Linked DNA regions of Tamandua tetradactyla. The protein of the gene in region 1 purifies or fractionates together with the protein of each later gene. This does not show direct contact. Links are inferred from orthologs where the notes say so. Each region holds a gene or a part of one and is shown in the gene's direction. Other genes may lie near its edges.

Region 1 (7,098 bases):
AACGTACTTGCAGTAATAAGTGTTCAAGGAGCATGATGTATGCAACCTAAACTCAAATGTTTGGAAAATGGATTGATAATAGATAAACAGATAGGTAGATAGATGGGTGGATAGATAGCATGATATGGCAAAATGTTAAAATTGGTGGATCTGGGTATCTGGGAGCAGGGGGACAGGTAGGCAGGCGTTCTCTGTTTGAGGTCCGCATTATATTTGTCCGGTACGTTTGAAATTTTCAAAATAAAAAGTTTCTAAAAATGAAAAAAAAAAAAAAAAAAGGAAACCATAGAAGTGAAAGTGCTTTAGGACAAAGCAAATTTTAATCCTGTTATCAGCTGACAGATTTCTGATGATCAGTGCTGTGCCTAGTCCTGTGCTTTTTAAGCAGGAGGTAATATATTTGCTGCTATTCAGGGAAAATGAAAACATTTGGTATGGCAAGTGAGGGCAAAGAGACTTTGGTCCTTCCTGATCGCTAGCTCATTGATCTCCCCAAATTTTTTACTTCCTATGGAAAAGGCTAACTTGGGGTGGGCTCCAACTCATATTCTAAAGCCCTTAATTGTAATGGTGTGTTTATCCAATTCAGCGAGGACTTGCTCAAAGTGCCAGCATCCTTGGCTCTCAATACTGACTTGCATCATATTTTTCATACATCTGCTGACTGTCTCCACAATGGCTGGGCCAGCCCTCCAGAGTTCTGGTCAACTCCTCCTCGAAGCCATCTACACTTGGCAGCCTTGAGGTCTGTACATGCTGAGTCTCTGGGACAATCAATTTAATTATGCCTCAAACTAAGAGCTTAAAAAGAGCTGACAGGAAAAGAGGCAGATCGAAGACAGGCAGAACTTTCTCCCCACTAGCAGCCCCATCATCCCTTGCTCTGGTCTGGAAGTTAGAAAAGCTGCATGAAATTCCTGCCATTATACAGCGCCAATCACTCCCTGGGACTCAGTTCTTCATTGTAAAATAAGGGTTCGATTCAGAAACTTTTCCCAAGAGAAGAAGCCTATACCCACCGCCCCCCCCCCAAAAAAAATAATAAAGGACATTTTCTTCTTTGGTCACTGTGTTCCAAGGTATCTCTCTTGTATCTGAGACAGTTTATACCTGAGTCCTGGCCATGCTTTCTCATTTTCTGAATTCCACAGGCCTGTCCGGGGGGATTCTTTCCATAACCCTTTCGCACAAAAAGCGTGCAACTCCTGCTTCTTTCTCATTTTTTTCCCCCTTAACCTCTTAAAATTAGTCCTCAGTTCTTGGGGTTAATCTCTACCTCTGAAGACTAAACAGAAGTGTCTAGACCATGGCACGTGGGTGTAGTGTTTAGGGAAAGATGCAGCTTTAGAGAAGCAATAGGGAGGTCCTTTCTGGTTTTCTGAAATGTCTTCGTTGAATTATGTTTCTTTTGATAGGACTGAAATGAAAATGGCATTAGCAAACACCCTAAACATGGAATGGGATTCACCTCTAGAGATGGGATCAGATGATGGTGGGTGTTTGCTAATCTGCTTAGGCCATTTCTATTAGGTAGTGATACCTCTTCCTTGCAATGTTGCACAAACTAGACTGGTGAAGGATGGGAGAAAGTAGGGAGGAAAGGCTGTAGCCAAGATCCTTTTGGTCATCAAAGATGAGCGGCCCAGGAAAACCTTCTGTATTTGTGAAGACTGCAATTTTGAAAGCTATTGTTATTTCTCCAACCAAAGCTTCCTTGGTGCTTTGGTTAGAGGCCAAACTTCAGAAGTAGGAGGATGGTTCTAGTTTTGATATTTTGAGTCCAGATGACCCCAATCATTAGCTCAGTGACCTTGTGAAGTCTCAGACCTTCAGTTTCTCATTTTGTAAAGTGCGGCCAAAGCCCTTTACCTTGCAAACTTATGAGAATCCAAGTAAATAATACATGCAAAATCGCTATCTGGAGCCTAAAGCCAAATACAGATCTTAGTTAATAGTTTTCAAGTTCTTATGTCCTTTTCCCCACCCTGTAACATAGCTAGAACTCTGGGATCCTCCTGGAAGGACCTTCATCAACCTTCAGCTGCCAGGTAAACAGCTCCAGAGACAAGGGGAAATGCCTTGATATATTAGGGTTATATTGCTGAATGAATGAATATTTTACATACCAAGGGAGAGAAAGGAGATCAGTTGGCAGGAGAAATTTACATTGTTCAGACTTTTGCTTTCTACTTTTTTTGTTGTTGTCTTTTGTGTGCTTTTGCCATTCAGACCAGGGCCCAAGGAATAATTAATCTCAAAGCAGTTAAGAGATCTCTAGCAAGCAAAAGCCTCCTGCAGGCTAGCAGTAACAGAGGGCTTTAGGGTATGTAAATGAAGCATTTTCTGGAACCTCGGAGACACAGCCCAGATAACACTCTCTAAACACCTTCTATTAAATTAGCAGTGTTAAGAACTTTATTCTGGATTTGGGGACTCTAACCACAGCAGTCATGATTTTGAGTTCACTTTGTAATTCTTCTCTCCAGGTCCTGGCTTGATTTAACCATGCCTGTAGATCACTGCAAGAGACGCCAAACCTAATATATTCTTGGGTGAGAGGAAAGGGCTGTAAGAAACACTTTCTTCTAGGAAGGGGTGAGAATTATCTAACTGATAAGGCAGTGACTAATTTTTGTCTCCTCCCCTTCCCTTCCCCATTTCTTTCCTTTCCTCCCCCATTTGTTTCCTTTCCTTCCCCTTTCCTTTCTGATCCTTTCCCCATTTCTTTTGTTTCACATCCTTATTTGTTCATGTTGAATTAATACTTGAAGTTGATAAAGAGCCAGTTTTAACTTGCTTAAGAAGTTAATGTTTTCCTTAGGAATTCTCAGAGGCTTGCAGTGACTTTCTCTTGCGAATCCTGTGCTTTCCCAGAGTGTACTTGACTTTCTGAAAGCACTGTTAATAATAATAATATATATATTTTAATGTTGATCAACTTCAGCCATTGCAGCCTGTGCTAAGAAACAGAAGCTGTAATGGGAGGGAAGCCCAGCGGTGCAACCCGCCCGGGCTAGGGGTGGAGAGCGGGACTCTTCTTGAGCCTCTCGTCACCCCCCAGACCATTCCTAGACCATTCCAAGGCTGCGCTGGAGATGACACTGCTCTCCTCAGGTAGGAGCAGGGGGTTGGAGATGAACCAAACTGGTACCTAAACATCTAGCCCTGGAGTCAGACCCTTTTGCTTAAGATATGCTTTCTTCGGGGTTTCAAATTTCCCTGCTCTAAACAGCGAATCCGCAAACTGTACTAGTAGGTTTCATTCACACAATAGCATGAATGAATTCATTAGACACCCTTTAGATTGGCACTTCGGGACCCTGAAGCAAGGAAGTTGGAGGGGGGCGCCGAGGACCTCCGGCCAGGCCAGCGCAGAGCGGCGCAGGTGGGCGCTGGGCCTGGACTCCGGGGGAGGCGGAGTCCCTCCGGCCGGCGCAGGCTGCACGCAGCGTCCCCGGCGCGTCCCCTGGGGCCAGAGGAGCTCCCACATGTGCTGGAAAAGCCACTCCGCGCGCCGTTTCTGCCCCAGTCCGCAGAGATTGGGGGAACCCAGGTCCCGAGAACACGGCCGCACCCAGCGTGGACCTCCTGTGCCCTACAAAGCAGCCGGGCCAGCCACAGACAGCGGCGGGCGGAGGGGCGTGGGCGCCGCACGGCAGCCGCGCTCGGGCGCTGGGCCCGCAGACGCTCCCCCGGCGCGAGCGCGGCCTCCCGGGACGCGGGCCCGCGCTCCCCCAGGCCCCGCCGCCCTCCCGCCGCGGGCCGGGCCCGGCCGCAGCCGGCGCGCCCCCGGGCTGGGGGTGGGGCTTGGGCGGGGGCGGGGCCGGGCGCGAGGCCGGTGTCGGGTTGCTCCGGTAACGGTGACGTGCCGCGGCGTGGGCGGGGCCAGCACGCAGGTTGCATATTTTAGGAAGTGAGGAGGAGGCGCGGGCTCGAGCTGCGGCGGGGTCTGGGGCTCGGAGCAGCGGCGGGAGGAGGCGGACACGTGGCAGCAGCAGCCTCAGCAGCCCCGGCGGCGGCCTCGGCCCGAGCCGCCGGCCGCGCTCGCTCCCTCCCGCCCCGCGGCAGCCCTAGTTGCCTCCTCTGCGCTCCCCCGGCCCGGCTCGCTCGGCCGGGAGCTGCTCTTTCCTTTTCTCTTTTGATTCTCCAGTTGCCGGGGCCGGCGCCGGGCGCACACCACCGCCACCATGGGGAAGGGGGTAAGTGTCGGGCGAGCTTGAGGAGGGGGCGCGGGAAGCCTGGAGGAGAGGAGGGGGAAGTCAGGAGGACGGCGGGCCGGGCGGAGCGGCGGCGGCGGCTGAGGAGGAGGAGGAGGAGGAGGAGGAGGAAGCAGCGCGGCGCGGTACGGGTTGGCAAAGCCCTGAGGCTTAAAAGACGACGCACTTTGCAAACGGAGGGGGGGAGCGCTGTAATGGGGTGAGGGGCAAAGGGAGCGCGGGGCGGCGTGGAGACCCCCGAGGGGCTCGTGGAGCCCGGAGAGGGGCTGCGCACGCCGAGCGCGGAGCGGGCGGGGGTCCCGGCGCCGGGGCTGGGGGGTGGGGGAGGAGGAGGGCGAGCGGCAGATGGGTGGCCCCGGGAGGGAGCCGGCGGCCGGCAGCATCCCCGAGCCCGGATCCCCTCCCTCCCTCCGCCCGCCTTCACCTCCCATCTCTTCTTCCTTTTTGCCCTCCGCCCTCCGTGCCGGGAGGAGAGGCGCGCCCCTCCCTTTCCCCTGGGGCGCTGCGCCGGGCGCCCGGCTCGGGGTTGGGTGGCCTCCCGGGCTGCGGTTCCCGCCGAGGGCCGGGCGCCGTCGGGGTCCCCCGCGCCGGGGGACAGCTGCGCGGGGTCGAGGCTCCTTCTCCTGAAGGTGCTGGGGCTTAGCCAGCTCCCCGCAGAGGCGTCCGCCTCCCCCAAAGGAAGAAACAACAACAACAAAAAAACAAAACCAAAAAAAAACTGGCTTCCCCTTACTTACTGCGGAGCCGGTCGAGCGGGCTAGTGCCAGAAAGGGTGTGTCTCCAGCGCCCTAAGATGGCCCTTGAAGGTATACTTTTGAGCGCTTTAATGGGCCACTTTCCATAAATACTAGATGCGTCCGGGCAGCTGGAATTGTCAGCTGAACCTCTTGACTGGAGGGGTGTTAATTTTTTGCAAGGATGTGCCTTGGCGGAGGACAGGCAAAACCACCGGGGCCTCCGGATAAAATAAGACCCCAAAAAGGACCCGAGGCCCAGGGCAGCCCGTTTGTACTTTGGTAGGAATGCTCCTGCAGGCTCCAGCCGACTCACCGAAGGGCGGTCCCCAAAGGAAGTGAGTGGTCTCCAGGGCAGGAGCACCGTGGGAATACCATAACAACATCACCTTCCTGCCTTTCTGTAGCGCAAAGCCCTGATCACTCGTGGCCGCAGAAGACCGGTTCCGGCCCCGAAGGAGACAATGTCTAGTTAGGATCCACTTGACAAAAAAATATATATCCTCTTAAATGTATCAGTTCACGAAATAAAAATGACCAAGTCTTGAGACTGCTGGTGGCATAGGATCCTTCTCCGTTATCTCCGGGGCTTATTCTTAGCACATGCCCTGCACTTAGTAGGTCTTTGGGGCCCCTGGGTATGGATTAGGGATGGGGCCAAGGGGAGGGCCGCATTCTTTGGGGACTCTAAATGGGTTTTGAAGGTGGTGATTGAAAGGCTTGGACCTGGGAGGGAGAGGTGGAAATGCACAACTTGTCTCTCCTTGAAAAGCGCAAGATGTTGAGAGCTGGCACTAGCCAGGCAGCATTAGGGCAAAGCGTCTGTATTTTCCCGATGGTAATTGGGTTAGCGGCCTATGCCTGGACCACCCCATCAAACTGTAGGTCATTCTTGTAAACAAGCTTTTTCAAGCTCATTCTTTTATATTTTCTCCCTTTAAAAGCTTATTTCCGGAGGGAGGAGACATCACTGACGGGGGAGGAGGTAGGAGGTAGATAAGTGCCTGAGGCCTAGGAAGGTGAACTGGCTTGCTCAAGGTCAAGCAGCTGGTTAATGGGTTAGTGACAGCCCAGAAGGCCTGAATTCCTGAATGGTCCCCTAGTCTCTGCAAGCATGACTTGACGTTTACTGCTGAACATAGCCTCATATGCAGATCTCTAAATATCTCTCCAATGAAACTGGGGTTTTTGTGCTTTTTTAATTAATGGGCCACGTTGATGGTGTTCAGGTAAGTTATGTCTGTATGTCTCTCCCATAACCACACAGGTACAGTAGTGGCAAAAATAGCAACAAACTCAGGTAGTTAGTGGAGAATGTCTTATTACCACAAAATGTTTGTTGGCTAGTAAACGCAAAATTGAAGTACAACTGGGTTAACACAGGATGATATGCTTGTCTCCTGGGTTGTATTTAGTATTCTGAGAACGCTGATACATTGAACATCAAGTTGCGTGTGTGTGTGTGTGTGTGTGTGTTTGGTGTTGGTAAAGATTCTTCCAGGATAAAGTTGCCCCTTTTGTCCCCAGTGACTTACTGTGATAGTCCAAATGTTCAGGAAGATATTTCACGCTGAAATGTTGGGATTTTTCCACATGGGGATTAAAACGTGGGTGGAGTGGTGACTAAAGCCCTGCTGATAATTGGTTAACCAGGAAGCCTGTGCTGGCAGCTAATTTTTAAGGTCATTGTAAATTTCTTTCCCTCCTGCTCCTACTACAGTTTGGGACCTAGGTTTGAATGATATTGCAGGTAATTCTATGTCTGTTAAAAAAAATCAGTCCCCCAGCTTCTGGTAAGCAAATGAAAGAACAGCTCTTGCTGAATCATTCCTGGATGAAATAGGATTTTGTCCTTTTTTTTTTTTTTTTTTACTGGGTATTTTTGCCAGTAACTTGGCTTAAATCTTCAGTTAGGCCTACCACCCACAGCTAGTTAGCTCACCAAAGGTAAGCATCATAATTATTCAAAATTGTAAGAAACTCTCCTCAAGCTTAGAAAGAGTGGGGGAAGGGAAGTGTCACCAAATCTCTCAGGGCAGTTCTTGATTCAGTTTGAATATTAACTTAGTTGCCTAGAAAATAAATCATAGCTTATGAGTAGTGATTTAAAGAGGGACAGAGAAAAAAGGTTCAGGTGAAATTGCACA
Region 2 (7,609 bases), on another chromosome or scaffold:
CCTTGTGTCTGATGCTATTATCCAGGGTATGGACAGATGAGTTAAAAAAAAGGATAAAACATAAATAATGGGGGGAGATAAAGGGTAAAAATGGGTAGATTGAAATACTGTGGGTCAATGAGAGGGACAGGTAAGGGGTATAGGATGTATGAGTTTTTTTTTCTTTTAATTTCTTTTTCTGGAGTGATGCAAATGTTCTAAAAATGATCATGGTGAAGAATACACAATGGTGTGATGATATTGTGAGCCACTGATTGCATTTTATGGTTGGACTGTACGTGTGTGGCTATTTCTCAATAAAAATATTTTCTAAAAAAGAAGTCATTATAGTATCATCTTCCAGGGGGTTGTGTATTAATTTTCTATTGCAGTTGTAACAAATTACTACAAACACAGTGGCTTGAAATAACACAGATGTATTATTTTACAGCTCTGGAGGTCAGAAGTCCAAAATCAGGCTCACTGGGATAAAGTCAAGGGAGTGGTAGGGCTCCTTCCTGTGGGGACTCTAAGGGGGGGGGGGGCACAGCAACAGTGTAGCATCTTCAGATGTCTCTCTCTCTGACCTCTGCTTCTGTCATTGCATCTTCTCTCCCTCTCCTTTAGTCATGTCTCCTTTTATGGTTCTGACCTTCTTGCCTTTTTCTTGGAAGAAAACTTGTGCCTTCACTGGGCCCACCTGGGTAATCCAGGATACTCTCCTCATCCCCAAATCCTTAAAAGCAAACTCATCTGCAAAGACCCTTTAGACATGTGCTGTAACATACTCATAGGTTCCAGAGACTAGGACGTAGACTAGGATGCAGCGGGTTGGTTAGTGTCTTCCTGAAATTCATATCCCTCGGACCTTTAGAATGAGACCTTCTTTTCTTTTTTTTAATTGAGAAATCTTCACACCCGTGCATTCCACACTTGGTGTACAATCGATGGCTCACAATATCATCACATAGTTGTGTATTCATTACCATGAGCGTTTTTTTAGAGAGACTTTTATTTGGAAATAGGGCTTTTGCAGATGTAATTAGTTAAGGATCTGAGATGAAATCATCTTGGATTTAGGGCGGGCCCTAAATCAGTCTTCCTTATAAGAGAAGACACAGACATGTCAAGATAGAGACTGATGGAGTGATGCGCCCACAAGCCAAAGAACACTTCGGGGTTACCAGAAGCTGGAAGAGGCAAGGAAGAATTCTTCCTAGGAGCCTTCAGAGGGCGCATTGCCCTGCTCATGCTTTGATTTTGGGCTTCTAGCATCCAGAATTGTGTGATGATACATTTCTATTGCTTCAAGTCGTCCAGACAATACATTTCTGTTGCCATACTTTGTTACGGCAGCCATAGGAAATTAGTACAACAATTTTATGGGGGGGGGGGTGTGTGCCATTATTCTCTACGGCAGTTCACCTCTACATTTTTAATGCTGTGGTTGCAGTAATACTGAATATAAGATTGCCTTCAATTAACATTGTAGCAGGATTTTTTTCCCATGTGAAGTCTTTGTAACCATATTTTCTCAAGGCTGTGAATGAGATGTGCACATCCATCCCAGGGAGGGGATGTGCTTCAATTTGCTCAAGCTGGAAACCAGGCTGTATTCCATCCTGGACTACTATACATCGTTTTGCAGCTGGCATTTCCCATACTTAGAATTATTGGGTGCACAGATGGTTCAGTGCTAGAATGCTTCCCAGCATGCGGGAGACCCGGGTTCAATTCCCAGCCCACACACCCCAAAACAAACAAAAAAACCCATGACCACCTATTCTTACGATTATTGCTTTCGCGCAGCCTCTCGTGGGTAGAACGGACTTATAATTCTTATTACTTATCGCCTAATTGCTTTCCAGAAGATTGTATCTATTTATACAAGCTCTTTGGCTTTTCAAAAATTAAATAAAAAGTTCTTTATTTTTATAATGATGGTATTATACACTCATTAAAGAGTATTTGGGATATATAGGAAAGACCAAAGGAAAAAAATCATTCATAGTCACATAAATTGAAGCTACAATTTTTATTAATATTAAATTTCTTTCCATTTTTTCCCTCTTCTCCTCCTTTATATATACATAATTTAAAATCCAGGAAGATGATGTTGAAATTTCTTTGAACTATTTTAGACCTGGGACGTCACCAGTTGTTGCATACGGATGAGAAAATTTTTTATTGTCCTCATCTTGGGATGAATTCCATCCTGTTTCCCCAGTTGGTCACTGCTCTCCACGTCACTCAGAACCTGGGTGCTGGGTCCTTGCTCGGATGATGAGGGTCAGAACACACTATGGGATGTGTGAGCTGACATCCTTGACCACAAATCCTCAATTCTGACTCCTCCTACCCATATTCAGGTCTGATGACTTTTCTGGAAAACGGTCAGAAAGGTTAGGTTTTATAACAATTCAGTTTTGTAATAAAACTAATTGATGCTGGTTACAAGCAGAAAATTTTTTCTCTTTAAATAACCATTTATATAAGTTGCACCTTCCATTTCTGCCTTCACGGAGCTCATCCATGGACCACGCTAAGAAATCATGTTGTGGTACCAGGACCTTTGGCCCTGAAAGAAGGGTGCTGTCTCGGTTTGCTAACGCTTCTGGAATGCAATATAACAGAAATGGATTGGCTTTTACAAACGTATTTATCAGGTTACAAGTTTATAGTCCTAAGGACATGAAAACGTCCAAATTAAGGCATCCAGATAAGGATACCTTAACTCTGAAAAAAAGGCTAATGGTGTCCAGGGTTTCTCTGTCACAGGGGAAGATACATGGTGACATCTGCTGTCCTCTCCTGGCTTCTGGTTTCAAATGTCTCTCTCAGCTTCTCATCTCTCCTGGGGCTTCTGGCATCTTCTACATTGCCAAATGTCTGTGTCTGGTTTTAGATCTCTGCTCTCTTGTCAGCTCTGAACTCTTCCTCTCTGTGAGCTCCTTTAAGGACTCCGGTAAAGAATCAAATCAAAAGGTCACACCCTACAACAGGTCCGCTCCTACAAGACTGGATTAAATAACACTGGCTTTTCTGGGGTACATGATAGTTTTAAATCAGCACAGGTGGGAAGGGGTCAGGTTCTTAGGAAGGTGATTGGCTGCTCTCCACCTTGATAGATATCTTCAGTAGAAGCCCTATGACTGCTAGATATAAGAAAGAACTTCCTTACAATAAAGTATTCTTACTCTGGTAACCCATTTCAATGTTAAAAATAAAAGAAAGATCTTCCCTGACTGCTGTACTATGTTTTGTTTGAAGAGAGGAGAACTGAATTAGGACTTGGAAGAAAACTCAACCCAAGGTGGGCTAAGCAAAAAGGGAATTGATTGGCTCAGGTGGCTGGAAAGCACAGGGTGCATCTTTATACCTGGCTGGCTCCAGGAGCATCATGTCCCCAGGACTTGAGCTCTGCCTCTGTCTTGTGGGCTGGCATCACTTTCAGGGGAAGTCTTTCTCTCAACAGCCCTGAGAAAAGTCTTACTGGTCTCGTTGGTCCCTCCCTGTAGCCAGGGCGAGCAGTACTGCACTGGCCAGGGCGAGCCACGTGGCGACCTGAAGAATGGCCCTGGAGTCAGGGATGCGGTGAGCTCCATTGCAGCTTGTGGACTGTGAAGAGGGGAATAAGGGTCATTTGCCCAAAGAAAAACTGTGGTCAGGGCTGACTAGTCCCCACAACCCCCTTCAGTTACCATCTAGGAACTCAGGTGTTCTGCTGGGAGAACTGCACCCTGGCCGGGTCAAGCTCAAGGAGTGTTATCGAAGTGGCACAAGGAAACCCAAGGACAGGAAGAAACACACTCTGACTTGGGGTTTCTTAGCTCACATTTGCAAGAGAGGACCTGATGGCTGGGCCCGAATTAGATGCCCACCCCAATGCCAATCAGCTGTGGCAGGGAGGGAGGAGGTGTGGCTAAGGTGTGTCTGTGTGCGTGTGTTATGACCTGGTATAAAAGACTAACTTCACAGGCTTCGTGAGACCTAGCAGCCAACTGCTTTGCAAGAAGCAATTTACTTCTTTCATTTCTCAAATACCTGGAAAAATAGCTGCTAGGAGCTTTGCTATGGGGGAAAACTGCTAATTTGCAGTGCAAACGTGGTGCACCGGAGAGTTTTCCCTGAGATTTCACCTGGTCAGAGAAGGCTCTGCATTTAGGTACCAAAGTCTTCAACGCCCCTGCCAGTTCCAGCTGAGTTTCTTCAATGTTTTCTTGCTACATGTCTCATTTTAAGCTTGCAACAATCCTCTGAAGTTAAAGCTCTGAGAGGTTGGGCTCCTTGCTCAGAGTCCCACAGCCACTAAGTAGTTCTGAGAGCATGCAGGGATTAACCTGAAAGTAGCACCTAGGGGAGCTGTGGAAGGGCGTCAGGGCAGGTGGGGGCAGGTTAAAGACCCTAACAAGATGGGGTGGTGGGGAACATACCAGGGGAGAGAAAGCATCTCAGACAATTTCTTTCAGCTTCACAGCTGAGCTCCTATGCTAACCAGCGCAAGGTTTCTCAAGCCCCGCCTTCCCTCAGGGCCACCTGGTTCCGCTCTGCTTCCCTGAAGTCCTTCCTGGCCTGCGGAACTCTGCCTCGCTGTGCACTGTGAGTGACTCAGCAGCTTTCTCTGCCCGCCCCTCTCTGGGAGTGGGCTGGGACCTGTGTAGGGACAGCCAACTTGGCAAGCCTGAGGCTCCAGTTAGCAAAGAGGTAACTCACTGGCCTGGAGAGGGGCCTAGGCTCTGTTCTCCCCTCCCCTCCCTAGGACCCGGAGGGGCTCTGAGCCCCCAAAAGGCCTAGGGCTGTTGTGTATCAGTTCCCATCTTTCTCACCCCCTTCCCTCCATAGGAACACCACTTCTAACCCGAGTTGCCGCTTTTTCTATTGAATCTGCCGCCTGCTTGCTGGCCCCAGCTGTCGTCTGCTTTAGCGGATGCCACAGCTGCCCGTGACCAGCGCTCTGACTCTGTAGCTCTGCTTCTCCAACACGGCGCTCCAAACGCTGTTAAGGACATTTACTGGCCGAAGGGGAAGGGTGCGCAGAATCTCCACGAGTTCATCAACCCTCGAAGTCTGCGTGGGAAAGGCTCCCGCGGGACTCTCGGTTGGCAGCTTCGGTCACTACCCGCTCGAAGTCTAGCGGGGAGACGAGCGTCATTCACCCCAGGCACATTGTACCGCGGGGAGGCCGGGCCCAGGCTGGACGCGGGTCCCCCGCGGGGCGCTCGACCGGCGGGTGGGAATGGGCGGTGACATTCGCGCTTAGTAAGACCCAGCAGTCGCCATCCTTGTAATATGCAATTTACTTCTTTCACTCCTCAAAGGCCCGGGAAATGGCTGCTAGTAGCTGTACTACAGGGGAAAACAGGGGGAAAACCTGCTAATTTGCAGTGCGAACTCCGTGCCAGGTGGAGCCTTCCCCGCGATTCGCCCCTGGACGGGGAAGGCTCTGAGAATCGGATGCCGCTTACGGGACAGTCAGAGGCGCCCGAAACATTGTGTCCAGATCGCGGAGCCGAGGAGCGGCAGTGGCGGCCGCCGGCCCGGGACTAACCCCGACGTTACACTCCGCGCGGGTCTGTGGGGGGCACGTGGGGGCCACCCCTCCCACCCAGGCGCCGCCTTCCACGTCAATTCCCAGGGGGAGCGTCTCTCCGCAGCCCCGCGCGCCTTTCTTTAGCGCGGGAACCCGGCTCAGCTAACCGGAAGACCCCACCCGGCGGGAAATTTCCAGGAATGACCGGCCCGCTCGTGCGGTCGCTACGCATGTCCCCGAGCACGCACACACCGTGCGCACGTCGGTGCCATCCCTCCCCGTCGTTCCGTGCACGCGTGCACGCAGGCACTCACGCGCGCCCACACACGCGTCCGCCCGGGGCTTGGAGAAACCCGCTGAGGTCAGAGCGCAGCTGGGGGGCCGGACGTAGACCTGGGCTGGGGCCTGGGAGGCGGCCCGGGCGGGACCTGGGGGCGGAGCACGCCGGGCCGGGTGCGCAGGGTAGGGGCGGGTCCGCGCCGCCGCCGTCGGCGCCGCCCCGCCCCGGCCCCGCCGCTCGCTCGGTTCCTCTGCGCCGCAGCCCCCGCCGTAGCCGCCGCCGAGCCCGCCGCCTCCGTCTCTGAGGTAGGCGCCGCGGGGAAGGGCTCGGTCTCCGCCTGCGCCGGGTGCCGCGGGCCTGGGCCCGGGGGAGTTGGGAGGGCGAGATGGGGGAGGAGCGCGCGAAGGCCAAGGGCCTAGCAGGAAGCCCGAGGGAGAGTGCGGAGTGGCCCCTGCGGGCCTGGCGGGTCAGCAGCCGGCCGAGGAGGCCGCGCGGTCGGGGGCCCGGCGGACCCGGGCGGGGTGCTGAGGCCGGGGGTCCGGAGCCGTGGGCGCTGCAGAGCACATGGGGGCGGAAGGGCACGGGCGGTCGCGTGGAGGCCCGGCCGGCCGCGGGTCTAGGTGACCTTCCTTCGCGGTGCCCTCTGGCCCTCGAGCCCGCCAGCGCGGGCCGGGCAGGGGCCTGTCCGCCGCCCACGCGCCCCAGTTCAGGCCCGAGGCCTGCGCGGGCCACGCTGCCGCCCTGGTGATGAGCCGCGTGTGACGCCTGCTGCCCCGCGCCCCTGGCCCGGCCCGACCCGCTCGGCCCACGCCCGAAGAAGCTGGCGTGCGGCGCGGCTCGCGCGTTCCAGCGCCTTTCCTGGCAGAACGGGCGGCCGAGTCGACTTAGGCCGCAGGGACAGGGGCTTGGGCCTGGGCGGGGGCGGGGGGGGGGGTAGGCCTTGGAAGAAGAGGCCGGGAGCGGAGCCGCGTGGTTGCAGTGGCCTTGAGAGGGATTCCTGTCTCGGTCGCTCATTCATTCACCAAACGCGGCGGGGCCAGACTGTGGATTTGAGACCCGCAGCTCAAGTGATTTGCCCAAGGTCACACAACTGGGAAAATACCAGACTTCAGTTTTTTTTTTTGTAAAAAGGGAGCAATTATGTTTCTCCGTCGTGGGGTTCTTGGAAGAATAAAATGAGGTGGTTAGTAACGCGAAGCTTTCAGGACAGGGCCTGGCACTGAAATAGCCTTGGAAAAACCGTGACGCTAGCCCTTGAGGCTTTTTGGGAGGATGCTGCAGAGTGCTTTGCTCCATAGTAGTAGTCTGGAAAGAACTCAGTAAATGTAGCCCCTGTGGTTTTTTTTTTTTTTTTTTGCATGGGCTCCGGGAATCGAACCCGGGTCTCCAGCACAGCAGGTGAGGATTCTGCCACTGAGCCACCGTTGCCCCCCCTTATAACCCCTGTGATTTTAAACATAGTTATTGCTGTATTATTAACGAGCGTGTGTGCCAAGGCACTGATTAAATTTCAGCAAAATTCACAAAAAATCCTGTACCTGTATAGATTGATAAGGTCGGGCCGGGGCAGGAAGCTTGAATGCAGAGGTGGACTCTGTTTAGCCTAGGTCTGTCACATCTGAGGCCCCCATCCTCTTGACCAGCGTCCCCCAGAGGGAATAAGGAAATGGGCGCCTCCTTTGCCAGGGCAGACTGCCCGGAGCCTGCCTTTTTTTCTCTTTGCCTCAGCCCTCCACTGACTGAGCTCCTGCAGGGCATGGTGGGCCCCATGCATCCCTGCCTTCAGGCCTGGGGTGGTAACACCTGGCACACAGTAGGTG
Region 3 (7,770 bases), on another chromosome or scaffold:
CTGGTCTCATTGCTCATTGAAAGATACCAAATCTGGGGCTGGGGGATGGACAGTGTTCATCTCTGCATAGACCCTGTTAGATCTGGTAGCCCCTAGACTCCCACTTTGGATGATCGTGGGCTGTGGAACTGGGTATTTCAACTTTCCCTGACTACAGCCAACCTGGAAATGTCTAGTCACAGCATTGTTTGGCTGGCTTCCTCAGTCTCATCTCTCTGGTTGTGGACGCCTGAGGTCTCTGGGACCTCATGAGGGAAGGGTAGCAATATCAGGACCCAAACAAGCCTACTTTGCTGGCTGGCTGTCAAGACAGGAACCACTCTGGGTCTCCCCCTCCTCCCCAGGAAAGGCCCCAAAGTTTCTGCCAAAAAAGACCAGGCACCCATAGCAGCCTGTCTTAGGAGTAGGAAACAGTTACTAGACCCTGACCAACTGGTCTTTGTGGGCAGGGAAAGCAAGTGTGCTGGCTTCCAAGTTCCCCAAGGGAACTCCTGGCTGTGGAGCTGCGAGGGGAGATTTAACAAGGCAGCAGTAGGCTGGAATAATTACCACGCATACTCACCCCACTCTCTCTGTACCAATTTCTCTGCTTTTTCATTCAGGGCTTCCCTATACAGGGTAGAAGACTGTCTCTGGTCACTACCTCCTTGGAACCACTGTCCCAGTCATTTTTTTCTGTACCATTTCTCATTGCATGGAGCCGGAGTGAACTCTGCCTCTCCTATTCTGCCAAGTCCCTGTATTTACATATCATGTCATCTTTATTTACTTCTTTGTCTCTGTATCATGGCTCCAATCTTTTCCACATAGTCTTTTCTTCAGATTCTAATCTAAAACAATTTTTCCCTTCTCTGTCTGCATTTTGATCTTTATTATTTACTGTTTTGTTCTGTAATCTCTGCATCTGTAGCAGGTGTTTCCCCCAATTAAACTGTAATCTCTTCCAACAGGCTCTTGTAGTCATTCAGTCAACAAAAACAATTGTTGTGGCCTACCATGTGCCATTCATTGTTCTAGGCACTTGGAGAGAATCAGAAGACAAAAATCCCTGTCTTTATAGAGCTTACATTCTAGGCCAGGAAGGGATACAGTATCTGGGGAGAATCAGTTCCTACTTAGTAGAGATAAATGAATGGGTGAAAACAGACCTGGAAAGAATGGAAATTGCTTATAATGTAGTAGAAATTCCAATGGGAGGGAAAGCAGGGAATAGGTAATTCTAGCTAGAGCCAGAGTAAAGTGGATGAGAGTGGGAGAGGACTGGTTGAGAATGAAAGTTGGGAGGGATGGGTGCAATAATACAGACCAAGAAACATAAGAAATGATAGATATGTAAAAAAAATATGTGACAAGATAAGCCCCTAAACAAAGAAAAGAAAATACAGCAGGTATACGGGTTTGGGCAACGGTTGCCATTTTAAAGATTAAATATTGGAAATGACTGGTTGCTCAATAGCCTACCATAGTTTAAAACCTTTAAACCTACCTGCTAAGCTATTTTTGTAGTCTAAGCATGCATGTGCACACGTACACTGTGGTCAGGTTCATGTGTCAACTTGGCCAGGTGGTGGTGCCCAGTTGTCTGGTCAGAAAAGTGCTAGGCTGTCTGTTGCTGTAAGGACATTTCATGAACTTAAATCCTGACCACATTGGCTGCACAACGGGAGTGTCTTCTGCAATGAGTGACGCTTAATCTAATCACCAGAAGGCTTTTAAGGAGGATTCAAAAGAGACAATCACTCTGCTTCAGCCAGCCAGCCTCTCCTGAAAGTTCGTTGAGGACCTTCATTGGAGCTGTCAGCTCATGGCCTGTGTTACAGATCTTACTTACATCCCCATGGTTTTGTGAGACACTTATAAATTTCACATTTACAGATTTCTCCTGCTGATTCTGTTTCTCTAGAGAATCTTAGCTAATATACAAATGTTCCTCTAAATCAATAGAGACAAAAATACAGAAACCAGTAGATATACAAACTTATTTGGAAAAGAATTTCAAACCAGAGTAAATGAAATCAACTCAGAGTTCAAAGTAGCTTTGCTTTTGGATCCCAAATCAGCAGAGCTCACCTTACAGCAATTCGTGAACTTCAGCCTACATCTACTGTTGCCAGCCAGTGAGAGTAACCTTTGATCTACTTTCTAATCATCTTTGTCATTTAGCTCAAGGAAATAACTACAACACATTATAAGACTAGAATCAGTGGAGACAGATGGATTATACTGGCACAAATTTCAAATTTGAAAATGTTACTTTGGTTGTAGTAACCTACAGATTTTTTCAAAATCCAACCCTGGGAAAAGGGTGGGATTAGGGAAGTGAGTCAAGTTTAAATATACAGCATGTGCTGAGGACTAAGTAAGGTATTTGCATCCAATTACATGACATTTCCTATTAAATTATTTCATAGCTCACATAATTGGGGATTTAGGTTGCGGAGAGGGGGAATTAGACAAGGTATTTTTTTCTAGATGTGACTCATCTGACAATCAAATTGAGAATTACAGTACTGGTAGAGGAGGAATGAGTTAAAACTTCAAGAACTACAAGTCTAGTTCATAAAATTTAATCATCTACTAGTAAATGCCATATCTCATTAAATGTCTGGCAATATCTTGGCACAGACTTTAAGGGGAAGAAATCAATCTACTGAGTCTAAATGGCAATTCAGGTGTGCAGGTAACTTTAAATTCACCTACTAAGCAATTTTCCAAAATTTATAAATTGCTATCAAAACGACAGTAACTATAATAAGCCACTTTCTAACTGGTGAAAACATGATACAAAAAAAATGTTTATATATGTGCATACCTTACCTCCATACCGAAAATATGGCACAACTAAAGTTGCAACTGTTTATTACACATTTTTAAATTGTAGAAGTTACTTTAAAAAAATCCCAGATATACAAAAATCATAGTTCTTCAGGGCTGTAAAGAGTTAACAATAGTTAACATTTACTGAGCACCTACTCCATGAAAAACTGATTAACATTTAAAAAACTCCTTTAGATTTCTAAACAACCTTGTAAGGAGGTATTTTTTAACCACATTTTTTACAGATGAGAAAAGAGATAAAGAAATTGCCCAAGGTCGTGAGAGAGTAAATGCCAGCTTTAAATTCAGAAGACAGAGGCCAAATTTCATGCTTTTCTCTGTCAAACTACTTCTCAAGTAAAAGAAAACCCACAGTCTCATCCATTCATTTTACAGATGAGGAAAATAGAGCCTGCTTAGATTATGAAATCTGTCCCAAATCACACAACTAATTAATGAAAGGGTCGTGATGCTAGAAACCAGGTTACCTGACTACCAGTTCAGTGTTACAACAGCTGTCAACCCATAAGAAGTACCTCAAAACCAATGCAGGTGTAAGCTCATACATACAATCTGATTTTTATAAAGTGTTAAAACATAAAAGTGGGAAACAGAAAAAAAATCTGTAAGGAAGGATGACAAAATGCTAACATGTGAGTAGCAAGTGAACAGGTAATTTATTTTTAACCCTGTTTCTGAGCTTTACACTTCAATTTCTGTAATAATGTAGTTATACTATGATTGGTACACACACATCAGTGAGAATGCTCCTGTGGAGACTAAAAACAACGGGAGAAATGAGAAAGCAGAAAAAGATTGAATCAGCCAAAATGAATCCCTCTTAAGTAAGGGGAAATTCAGCTACCAGCCTTAAAGACAAGCTAAGAAGGAAGTGGGAATATATATGATAATTTAACAATTTAAATAATTGGTATTAGGCACAGCATCTCACATCTCACGTGACAGGTTTGAGAAGGGAGAGAAATGCTTAGTTTCTCCCATCACCCACCTTAACCCTTCCACTGCCAATTTGAAGAGAAAAGATAACAGCAAATGCAGGCTGACAGGGAAGTGTCAGAAACAAGATCAGAAAAGGTACATAAAATTATCTAACGCTTTATTTTCTAAGTTACAGGACATCTGAGCATTAAATTAAAAAGTTGCTTCTTTTCCAGCAAGTTGCTGAACCTCCTGTTGAAATTCAACATACCATACATACGTTTACACTAGGATTGACAGAACTGGGCAAGAGCTGAGCTCCATCGAAAAGCGGTAATAAGTACTAAAGTGGTTTGACAACAAAGGAGAAGGGAGCGGCAGTAACCTGTCACGCCGGTTACGGGAAGGTGCTGTGAAGACGCCAAGATGTGAGAGACCGGGGATGCCCGTTCTTCTGGACCCGGATCCAGTAGGAAGGGCGTGAACCCCGAAGTGCGACGCGGGAGATCTGCGGAAAATTCCGGCACCGGGTGGGAAGGACTCAGAAAGTTAGGGGTTACGGAGCCTGGAAGCCCCACGGCGCTGGGTGTCGTGGGAGAGGAAGCCGCAATCCCTTCACAGGGACGCAGGGGCCCGGCGTCCACCCCAAGCACTGGAAGGCCCAGGCGGGGGCGGGGAGACGCCGGCTAGCCCGAGACGCGGTTCCGGGGCCGCCCCAGGCCGGGCAGGAGTTCTGCCCGGGCTGCAGAGCGCCCTCCGCCAGGCCTCACCTGGGGAGCGAAGAGTCCTAGAGGAAGTGAAGCGGCTGAGGCTGCCAATTGCCCGGGACGCCACCATCTTGCACGGAAAAGGACGAAAGTAGAAAGCGCTTCCAGCGGGGGCGGCTGAGCAGAGGACTTTTCCCCCAAGCAGCGTGGTCCCTGCCAGGCGTCCGCCGTACTGCCTGACTAAAACCCAGATGCCGAGGTGCCGTCCGCCCCGCGACCCTGCCCTTCGCTCCCGGTACATGAGGCGAAAAGGGCGTTCTCCTCGTCAGGGAAAGAGGCCGGTCGAGGAAGGGGCGAGGAGCCGCCGTTCCAGTCAGGCATCCGGCGGGCAGCCCGCGAAGCCCGTGGGCGGGGCGCGGAGGGGTCCTTTCAAACAGGCCCCGCCCCTTGGCCCCACAGACTCTAGACGCTTGGGTCCGAATTTTACCCGGAGTCGGGGCCGCAGTGGAGTCGGAGCGGGCGAGAGCAAAGGTGGGACTATGTTTGCGTTCGGGTTTCCGCCTGAGTTTCTTCCCGGGCGACAGCCGCACTTCCTTTCCTTTCGCCAGACCCGAGACCTGTGGCCGCCGGCCAGAAGGCTTCTCTCCCTGTGAGGCTAGTATTCCGGCGAGCGGAAGGAAGCGCCCCGACTGGGCGTGCTGTAGCCGGAGCGACTAGTACTGGGGCAGTAACTTGGGCTAGCCTTCTAATTGTACTGTGGGCAGTAGTGTCACCTGTGTCTTTTAGTTTATCACCGCAAGTTAGCCAACAGTTTGTCGGCATACAAACCTACTTTGGAGTGTTTACTATTCACCTGTAGCCAGGTCAGCGGCCTTAGAGCTCCTGAAGGGGACCACGGGTCTACCCCGTTTTCTGCTTCAAAGGGTGGAGCTCGGCCCTGTGTCCTTTCGGGACTCGAGTGTGGGAGGAGCTGAGACATTTCGCCCTCCTCCTCGGAGATGGATAATGCAGGGGAATTTTCAAATCTGTGAGAGACCTGGTATCATCGGTCATTCACCCCCTTCACTCGATCGGTAAGGAAACTGAAGCCCCCAAATCAGACTGAGTAATTTTATCCAAGGTCACAGGTGGTAGAAATAAGACTAGAACCTAGGTCTCCTAGTTTCCAGCCGAGACGCTGCTTGCTCCGGTGCTCCAGAGTCCTGTTAGAGATGAGACGATTCAAGCCAAAAGGAAATAATTTTGAGGGCCTGTTGTGCTTCAGTCACTTTCCTCCCATTCCATTTAATTCTTATGAACCTAGGCTTATTTGCATTTTTCTAGCTAAAGTTTGGGAGGTTCCGAGAAGAGTAGATAAATTTTTTTGATTTCAGATATAAATCTGAGACTCACTGCTTACCAGATTGATGTCTGGCAAGAGAGACAGCAAGAGGGGCCAGCGGGCGGGAAAAATGGCAGGGAAATTGAGGCTGAAACAAGTATAAAAAAAAAGAAGAGAGATTTCTGTTAAAACTCAAGTCAAATAGTGAGTCCCCCATCATTGTGTACTTTTTAAGTAGAAACTGGATATGACCAGTGATCACCTTGTAGGAAATTGTAAAAAGGATTTTAATGACCTCCAAAGGCCCTCCAACTTAAAAGATTTTTTTGCCACCCCTCATCTAAATAATAAGTGCTTCATGGAATGAGGTACTGAAGAGAGCATTGTGTGGGCAGGAGACAGGACTTGAACTGTAAAAAAATCTTTTTAAAATAGTTTAGGCTTTGGAGGCCTGCATAGGGCTCTGTCATGTTCTTTTTTGTTTTGTTTTACAGCCCTTTAAAAATATATAAAACTGTTCTAAGGTGGAAGCCCATGGACTGTAGTTTGGCAACCCTTGATTTAGATCACCCTTTTGCCTCTTGATTTTTTTATGCCTTGCACTCTCAGCAAAATCGTAAGCTCCATTGGGGCAAAAATGTCCTGTTTCTTTGATCCTTAATACTTAAGAAAGATGGCTTGTACAGAGCAGAAACTAAGTACATTTATAGCACTGTCACTACCTCCTAAAAGTAACAACAGACCCACATATAACTCTTACTATGTATCAGGCACTGTTCTAAATTAATCTTTGCAGTAGCCCTATGAGGTAAGAACTGCAATTAGTTGGGATCCTAAGGCAGAGAAAGGGTGGAGTCAGTATTTCAGTTAAGGCAATCTGGCTTCAGAGTCTGTGCTCTTAACCGTTACGTTGTGTCTTAATGCTTTTTGAAATTATGGCTCTAACAAGAGCCATCCCATCTTGTTTCAGAACTTGCCCAGCCCTTTCTTCCTTTCCTTGCTCCAGGTGCCCGCAACTTTAAGCGTTTTTCCATGCTTCCACACCCTACAAAGCCTACCTACCCTGGAGTTTCCATGCTTCAAAAATCCTCGAGTCAAAATTTTTCGCTGTTTAGATGTTTTAAATGTTTATATAATCAGATCTGTTATTTTTAGAAAGTTTTGATATCTATTAAAGCAAGGTGTCTTTTTTTCTTTTTCAAAATGTCCTTGATTATTTTCATGAGTTTTATTTCAAGATGACCTTTGCTTAAGAGAATTTGTATCCTAGATTCATGTAGAATCATCCGTATCTTCTAGAAACCATGGTATCTTATGGGCTTCTTTGTCTCCTTGGCTGGAGTTCCTGTATACCTATAGGCTGCTGAGCCTAGAATTTGGATTCGGCCACTGCTTTCCAATGTGAAACATGTGATTTTCTTCATTTTTCTTCTTTTTGGTGTGGTGGTGATTTATAAGGCAGTTTTAATGAGATATTTTCACATACCATACACTCCATCCAGTGTGCACAATTAGTGGCTTTTAGTATAATCACAGAGTTGTGCGTTCATTGCCACGATCCATTTTAGAACATTTTTATTACTCCAAAAAGAAAAACCTCAAACCCCTTAGCAGTCACCTTTCAAGCTCTCTGTCCTGTCCTGGCACTATGTAATCACTAATCTAATTCTGTCTCTATAGATTTATTTATACTTAATTTTATATAAATGGAATCATGCAATATGTAGTACTTTGTGTCTGATTTTTTCCACTTAGCATAATGTTTTTAAATTATTATTGTTTTTTAATTACAGAAGTTGTAGGTTTACGAGAAAGTCATATTAAAAAATACAGCGTTCTTCTATACTCCCCTATTGTTGAAACTTTGTATTAGTATGGTACCTTTGTTACAATAGATCAGAGGACATTAAAATATTACTGTTAACTATAGTCCATAGTTTACATTAGGTATACTTTCCCCATATATCATCTCTTATTAACACCTTG

Evidence for each region.
Region 2: the proteins of ATP1A1 (region 1) and VDAC1 fractionate together in Homo sapiens (co-fractionation; 3 studies listed by BioGRID, with this or other methods). This does not show direct contact. The link is inferred for Tamandua tetradactyla from reciprocal best matches to the Homo sapiens genes ATP1A1 and VDAC1.
Region 3: the proteins of ATP1A1 (region 1) and HADHB fractionate together in Homo sapiens (co-fractionation; 3 studies listed by BioGRID, with this or other methods). This does not show direct contact. The link is inferred for Tamandua tetradactyla from reciprocal best matches to the Homo sapiens genes ATP1A1 and HADHB.

What each region holds. Positions count from the first base shown.
Region 1 is NC_135337.1:4,653,984-4,661,081, reverse strand, and holds the start of ATP1A1 (sodium/potassium-transporting ATPase subunit alpha-1), read left to right. Parts: upstream 1-4,036; 5' UTR 4,037-4,187; coding exon 4,188-4,199; intron 4,200-7,098. UniProt on the Homo sapiens protein: This is the catalytic component of the active enzyme, which catalyzes the hydrolysis of ATP coupled with the exchange of sodium and potassium ions across the plasma membrane.
Region 2 is NC_135346.1:13,052,794-13,060,402, reverse strand, and holds the start of VDAC1 (non-selective voltage-gated ion channel VDAC1), read left to right. Parts: upstream 1-4,559; 5' UTR 4,560-4,578; intron 4,579-4,590; exon of another isoform or gene 4,591-4,683; intron 4,684-6,006; exon of another isoform or gene 6,007-6,094; intron 6,095-7,609. UniProt on the Homo sapiens protein: Non-selective voltage-gated ion channel that mediates the transport of anions and cations through the mitochondrion outer membrane and plasma membrane.
Region 3 is NC_135329.1:9,960,657-9,968,426, forward strand, and holds the start of HADHB (trifunctional enzyme subunit beta, mitochondrial), read left to right. Parts: upstream 1-4,714; coding exon 4,715-4,994; intron 4,995-5,060; exon of another isoform or gene 5,061-5,536; intron 5,537-7,770. Other genes in the region: HADHA (trifunctional enzyme subunit alpha, mitochondrial), read right to left, coding at 4,527-4,764. UniProt on the Homo sapiens protein: Mitochondrial trifunctional enzyme catalyzes the last three of the four reactions of the mitochondrial beta-oxidation pathway.